2 linked regions of the Bombyx mori genome follow. The main gene of each other region encodes a partner of the protein of the gene in region 2 in a complex. Links are inferred from orthologs where the notes say so. Each region holds a gene or a part of one and is shown on either strand. Other genes may lie near its edges.

The links. The genes of interacting proteins can lie anywhere in the genome.
Region 1: MLE (region 2) and Msl3 share a complex: the UniProt entries of both Drosophila melanogaster proteins name them as parts of the male-specific lethal (MSL) histone acetyltransferase complex. The link is inferred for Bombyx mori from reciprocal best matches to the Drosophila melanogaster genes mle and msl-3.

What each region holds. Positions count from the first base shown.
Region 1 is NC_085113.1:6,770,528-6,774,193, reverse strand, and holds part of Msl3 (male-specific lethal 3), read left to right. Parts: intron 1-345; coding exon 346-447; intron 448-3,502; coding exon of another isoform or gene 3,503-3,526; coding exon 3,527-3,632; intron 3,633-3,666. UniProt on the Drosophila melanogaster protein: Component of the male-specific lethal (MSL) histone acetyltransferase complex, a multiprotein complex essential for elevating transcription of the single X chromosome in the male (X chromosome dosage compensation).
Region 2 is NC_085132.1:4,383,975-4,387,640, reverse strand, and holds part of MLE (MLE protein), read right to left. Parts: intron 2,360-3,666; exon of another isoform or gene 2,344-2,359; intron 1,199-2,343; coding exon 1,025-1,198; intron 903-1,024; coding exon 823-902; intron 739-822; coding exon 556-738; intron 166-555; coding exon 71-165; intron 1-70. UniProt on the Drosophila melanogaster protein: RNA helicase component of the male-specific lethal (MSL) histone acetyltransferase complex, a multiprotein complex essential for elevating transcription of the single X chromosome in the male (X chromosome dosage compensation).

The sequences.
Region 1 (3,666 bases), on a different chromosome or scaffold from region 2:
CGTTTCGGTTTGAAGGGTGGGGCAGCCGTTGTAACTATATTTGAGACCTTAGAACTTATATCTCAAGGTGGGTGGCGCATTTACGTTGTAGATGTCAATGGGCTCCAGTAACCACTTATAAAAAATATATAAAAAAAAAGTTTCGCGGCTGTCTGCTTTATAAACACTATTTCTAATTGAATTAATTCTCATCATGATCATTGCATTTAATGAGTTCCCGTTATTACAACGCTGTTCCGAGCGTGATCACGGGCAGTCTGCTTATGACGACAAGAACTCATACAATAACAAGTGTTTATAAATTAACGTATTGTTCTGTGCTGAAGTTTGTGGTGAATTATACAGGCTTCGTTCTCACAAGTCCGTTGTTTCGCAATCTGAAAACGAGGAGCCGGCACCTTCGACCTCGACTGGCGAACCGAGGACATTCGAAACACTTTCCTCCAGGTAAATATATATAGCCTTTTTTTACACTAATGTTTTTTTTCTACCTACCGCCAGTAACTTCAAGGGGTTATATTAGCTAGCTTCACTGAACGTCTAGACGAACTCACAGGGGTTTCAACCTCGAAGACTTTGCCGAATCTACTAGCGGATCGGAAACGCGACCCACTGTGACGATCCGACGAGAAACTCAGTGGGCTATATATTCGTGTATAAGTTTTGTTTAGATCGAATTTCGTGTAGCAGTTTCGAACCGCTCGCTCCTACCGCTCGCTAACGGAGGAGTTGGTTTTTTACGTGCCGGTTCAATTTGACACTATTTTTAAGGAATTTTATGACCTGGTAACTAAGACTTTTAGGTCAAGTCTTATTTTAATTTATAATCTTATTTTTATGTAAAATGATAATATGGAGTGAAATGAAATGAAATGAAGATGATTAATTTGAGACATTAATCAACTGAGATGAAATGAGATGAGATGATATGGGATGAAATATAATCTCAGTAAAATGGTGGTTATCTACTAAGACTTTTCCAGTGGGCTTTTTGGAGGATCCCGAGAAGCTACGTCCAGCGGCTTTGTCTCATTTTCCCACATTTGTACACTTTACACACACAGATACTAAACATTTAATAAACTATTAAACATTTAAACCTGAAAAAACACTAAATAGACAAAATAAAACAAATCACATAACTTCACTCCTCGCGTTCCCGCCAAAAAGTCCTATTTTACATTTTTATCGTAATCGTAAACAAATGATAAAAGGTTAATTCAACAAGAAGCATAGACACGAAATTTTCTGTATATTATACATTTTATTTCAGTTCGCGTTTCATTCTAAAACTAATGGTAATTACAATAAAAACGTTATTTCGAAGTCACGTTTCAACTTCGATCTGTGGTCTCCAATAATTAAATGAAGCCAAGTCGGCCGAGTTTTATTCTATACTGTGGTGCAAAAATAAACGCTACGCCCATACGTACACATTACGTAATGTACTGTGAAATGTGATACTCGCTGGCGGTAGGTAGGGTAGGTACACGGAAATACAATTCCAAGCAAGATCATTTAACTTAGAATATTGCACGCAATTATACATGCGTCCGTAATTGAAATTCCTGAGATATTGGCGTGGGCGCTTTCCATGAATAAACGCTAAGAAGATTATCTAAAAAAGAACGTAAAATATTTTAAGACAAATAACGAAATGAAATATTTTTTGAATAATACTCGTTTTAAAATATCGTATGTTATTGTGCACAGAAAAAGGGTTTGACAAACTATGGTGTGTAATAAAAATCAAACCCGAAAAATTAGTATTTGCGTAATTCCTGGTGGTAGGCTGCTTTGTATGACACGTGACACGGCAGAATACGGTTTCACAGTTGCGGCAGCCGTTGTACTGTAAAAACTGAGACTTTGAACTCATGTCTCAAAGTGAATGGCGGCATATAAGTTGTTGATGTTCACGGGCTCCGGTAACCACATATCACCAGGTGGGCTGTGAGCTCGTCCACCCATTTACCCAATAAAAAAGTGTAATTTGACAGCCGATTTTAGTAGTGTATAGATTTTAATGGGTTACCGTAAATTACGTCCGCGTTGGTTCATTTTGAAGTGTGTCACTTATGGACAGCAGCAATAAAATAATAAAACTACAATACAAAACACTAACAAAACTGTTTCTCAGAGAGTTAGCAGAGTCATCTAATTGATAATATGTATTTTGTTTATATATGTTTTTATATGTATATATTTATGATATGTATATGTGTATCTATATATTTATGTATATGTATTTATTTAAGTAGGAGTATTTGTATCTATAAATATTATGAATGTTATATATACACATATGTTTAAGTAATATCACCTTCACACTACACCTACCAAGCTTCATCTCTGCACTCCCCTAAGGTAGTCAGTTAGAGAATGCCTATGGCATTAAGTCCGCCTTTATGGTAGTCGCCTTTCTAGTATATGAAGTTATAAAAAATAAAATAAATAAAATAAAACTGTCTCTTCGCTCACATTTTTTTTTTATTTTTATTTTTATTTTTTGCCTTTGTAGGCAGACGAGCGTACGGCCCACCTGATGGTAAGTGGTTACCGTCGCCCATGGACTTCAGCAATGCCAGGAGCAGAGCCAAGCCGCTGCCTACTGCTTAATACTCTCCACAAGCCTCGTTTGAAGAAGGACATGTCATAGCGTTCGGGAAACACCGCGGAGGGGAGCTCATTCCATAGCCGGATGGTACGTGGCAAAAAATACCTCTGGAAACGCACTGTGGATGACCGCAGTGGCTCCAGGTAGTATGGATGAACTCTACTCCGGTGGCGGGCGGTGCGATGGTAAAAACGAGACGTTGGTATCATCTCGAACAATTCCTCAGAGCACTCCCCATGGAACATGCGGTACAAAATACAGAGGGACCCGAAGTCCCTCCGCAGACCCAGAGGTCACATTTCAGTTTTACGTTAAATCGTTTTTATAATAATAATAAAAATGAGATGGAAACACAGAAAATGTATTATTGATGAAAATACAAAAAAAAAGGAAAAAGGCTGTAAAATCTATTAACCTTTTTGTGCTGCGAAATAATCGCTCGTCCCGTTAAGAGTCGCTATCCTATTAAATTACGGTAACCGAGAAATACTTCATGGCTCAAAATAATCAGCGGTATTAATTTTGGGCTATTCTTTATTTATTTCATTTACTTCAGATTTTGCATCCATATAACATTCATTAACAATAACTACAATTTCAGAATAAAATAATAATAATAATAAAACAAAAAATAAAAATTCATTTCAAAACTACCTTAACCTAAAAGCTGGTTTTGGTCTAGAGTGATCATCATTCGTAATATATTAAAGAAATATAATATACAAATAATTATAATATAGAACATCTTACATCAGATGGGCCAATTCCCTAATAGAGCCCTTTATACCACGCACCTATAAGCATAGTAAGCTACACCCGTCCTAACCCTAGTTTTAAAACATTTCATTGTGTACTAACAACTTAGAATATAATAATAATTCACAGGTTAGTTTTACAAAAATTTTTCAGCGTGGGAAGTAGCGGCTCGTCCATGAGCGAAGGTTGGACCCATCCACCGAAAACAGCTCCCGTATCCACCAGCACTCGCACTCCGCTCTCGCTGCTCTTGGAAAAGGTAGCGTATACGTTTTTTGGGTATGACCAAGTGC
Region 2 (3,666 bases):
AATAACCTTTTAACATTGATAGTTTATTTTAAGACGCTAGTCATATAGCAGATGCTTAACTATATATTACCTGGTACAATTTGCTATTCTGACAAATATTCCTGTGACATTTCTCCAGGTCAGCGCTAATCTCGTCCATGGAGGCAGTTGCTAAAGCGCCCTCGTCTACAAAAAATTGTGTGAGTCAACATGTTTGTTTGTATGGGTCAGAATTTTTACTTTGCTCTCTATGTATGGTATTAATCGGTTTTCATGTGAATGTATTACATCGTCTCAAACTTTTTCGTCTGTGTGTTGCATGTCGCGTGGCGGTCGGCCGCGGAGTAGCCAGAGCAGCCAAGGCCAATATAGCGGCGCCTGTAGTTCGCAGCAGCTGACCGTGTAGTGTATAAGTTATTACTCATTTGTGCCAGTGCTCTACGCTATTTTGTTTGTTTTTGTCAGTGTTTAATGTGAATGTTGTTTGTCAGAGTTAAATGTCTATAACGTGAAACAAAGTTTCACTTTTACCGTGGTTTCATAAAACCACACAATCCTTTTTTTTGTTTTTCTCACCGATGTTACACCCTGTCCAAGCGTTCCAATTCGGCTGCGGAGGAGACCACGTCACAACACCAGCCGGCATAGGCTTCGCTTCTCTCATAGCCTTCGCGCGATCTTTTTGCAACAGAGTCACAGCACTCCCCTCTTGGTTATCTTGGCTTGGTGCGTCGACATTAACTGGCTCGATTTCTAATTCTAAAATATGAAATAGAAGAAACATTTAAGTTTCAAAAAAAATAATACCAAAACAGTTGAAATATTTCAAGTTTAACAACGAACCTTGTAAGGTATCTTCTAATTGTTGTTCAAGTTCCGGGCATATAGCAACTGGATATGGTTTCATAATACCCTCTGAGGATCTGAAATTGTTAAAAACAATTACAATTACCGTAGTTTGTTATGTTATGATTTAAGAACGTCTAACGAAAGACAATTAACAATCCGGGACCACTCATGATCTTCCAACTTTTTTTTTTATTACCTGTCCCTTTTTAGCGTACCGCTGTATGCCTCAATGACTCCAAGATGGTATAGCTGTCTCACGATCGACAGTGCACATGACTTGCTGGCGGTTTGCTTGTTTGAGGCGGTCTCCCGACCGGTGACATTGCGTCCCAATTGACTCACATATATTGTTAGCTCACAAGCGAAACTCCTACAAAAATATTCGTATTATTTTAATATTTTAAGAATCCTTAGTAGTATCGTCATGGCACTCTCAGTTCAAAAGCAGCCTACATAGTTAGAAGCGAGGCATGCTGTGATTACTATTATAATTTCGAGTAAGAAATAGTTTTAAACTACATACATGAAATTTCTTTTAAATACCTACGTATATAATGAAAAAAAAAAAGGACAGAATAGTTATAGATAGCAAAAACTCTATCCGATCCTAATGAGCCATATTTATCAATGAGTAGGCATAAAACTTGATAAAAAATATATACATATATGAACACTACGCTAGGTTAATAAAAATAATAATTATGAAACCTGCATCATTGCTCTTAAAATATGAAAATCGACAAAGTTTAAGGTTACACACAAAGAGTACCCAGTCGAAGCCAGTACGTGCTCAAATGTACTACCTCTTCTTCGTCTTTCTCTCACTGCTGACGATCGCGACCACATGTAACTTTCCTCCATAGTGTTCGGTCATGGGTGGCATAGACCGCATTGTATAGGCTACCAACCGCTTTCTTAAACAGATCTCACCATCTGGCTAGTGTACTACCCACGGCCCGCCTGCCTATTCTATATTGGACTACCTAGTACCTACACGTATCTATATGCCGGCGGCCACATTTTTACCAACGTCAACCCAAGAAGTTCACGATGGTGCTTATCGAATATCATAACCCAAAGTTATGTCCGATTATGATGAATATGCCTATCTTCTATAGCAGAAATACGCATCGACGGACCCATCCGCACGGGTTCGCAACTTGTATGTCAATGACCGCGATCTCAGTTTATTGACCTGATATTCAGCTGTTTGCAGTAGCTGTTTTGACTTTTCTTAGTTTATATTTGACCTTAGTTTTATAAAATTATAGCATGTTAAAAAAGCAGATTTATGTAGCCACCAAACAAAAACACTCATGGATCAGACAGTGTTTTTGTTATTTACAAAAATTTCTTACCTATTTATTATGTAGCCAATTAGAATTTTACGATCTTCATTAAATAGAAAATGTTACTAATTATAATTTAATCTCATGTAAACAAAGTACCTAAAGTCCAAACAAGATGTATTAAGGAAATACTATGTTGCATGCTCTAAAACATATCACAACTTACCTTTGTTTAGATGTAATGACCCATACATTCCAGAACCGTGGCCAATCATTGTGACTTTCTCAATGAGCACACCTGAATTCAGAAAATATCCAAGACTCAATATTGTTCGTTAACGTTGTGTAATGCCACTTTTTTTTTGTTTTTGTTTCAAAATAATTGGATTTTTGAGAGAAAACAATTGGATGAGTATGGGACTTAGTTACATAATAAACAAATATCTGGGAATTTATACACACGGATGGTTGAGAAAGAGGCACAAAAAATGACGCAGTGTAGATAGCTGATAAAAGTGCTCTAAATTATAATTAATGGTTCCGAGCTCAGCTTGCCCCTACTATCAATTTAATTGACAGGTGTTAAGGAAACAAAACAATCTAAATTTATGTACTACATACATACACAGTAATTTGTTTATCAGGTATTATTTTCATGAGCCTTCATAGTAATACGTCCAACCACAGCTTCATTGTATAAAGTAGTGTTTGGCTATCCAATACAGATATTATTATGAGGGCCACTGAAGTTCAGCGTCAATTACTGTGTGGGATTACGTTCAATCTTTTAGTCTTGGATAGTCTTTTTGTCTTGGATATTTTCTGCAGGTTTTGCTCTTCTTATGTGAAAAATCTGCTGAAGCTAACTTTGCATCTATCGCAAAGGGTAGCTTCATATTCTGATAAAATCTTAGTTTTTCTTTGTTTTTTCAATTATTGATTATCCTTATCACACAGACAGGGTAACAATTGTATGCTGTAATAATTATGTTAATAATACTTTACGTACTGAAAATCATTGCTTCAAAAAACCTATTAACTGCACGAAGACATCTTTTTTGCATTCTATTCTATCAGCCTACAGACATTCACTGCTGGACATAGCACATTTGATAGCTATCAGAAGTTTCAATAAAATGAAAATTATTCTTTTGGTTGTTTCACATTCCCTTGGTAAAACATTGCTCGGGCGTCTCCTCTGAGGAGATTTGAGAACGATTATTATGACAGTATGACAAACACACGAACTCTCCAGGGTATAACGGAGTCACGTCTTGACATTTGTACAAAAATGCCACCACCTTTAGACAGAAGACTAAAGCCTAAACTTAAATACAAGTTACACTAATGCAAATGACGGTGGTCAATGCGGTACACAAATGCTTTAGATCCTAGGTGAACCATGTTATGATGTCATAGGAGAGTACCCATGGCATAATGTTAAAATATTAAGGTAATTGAAGTTTTTACTTTCATCATTCTTCTAATTCTGGCCATATGTTATTACAAGTAGAATTAACAGCATACAAATGTAAATCCTCATGCCAAG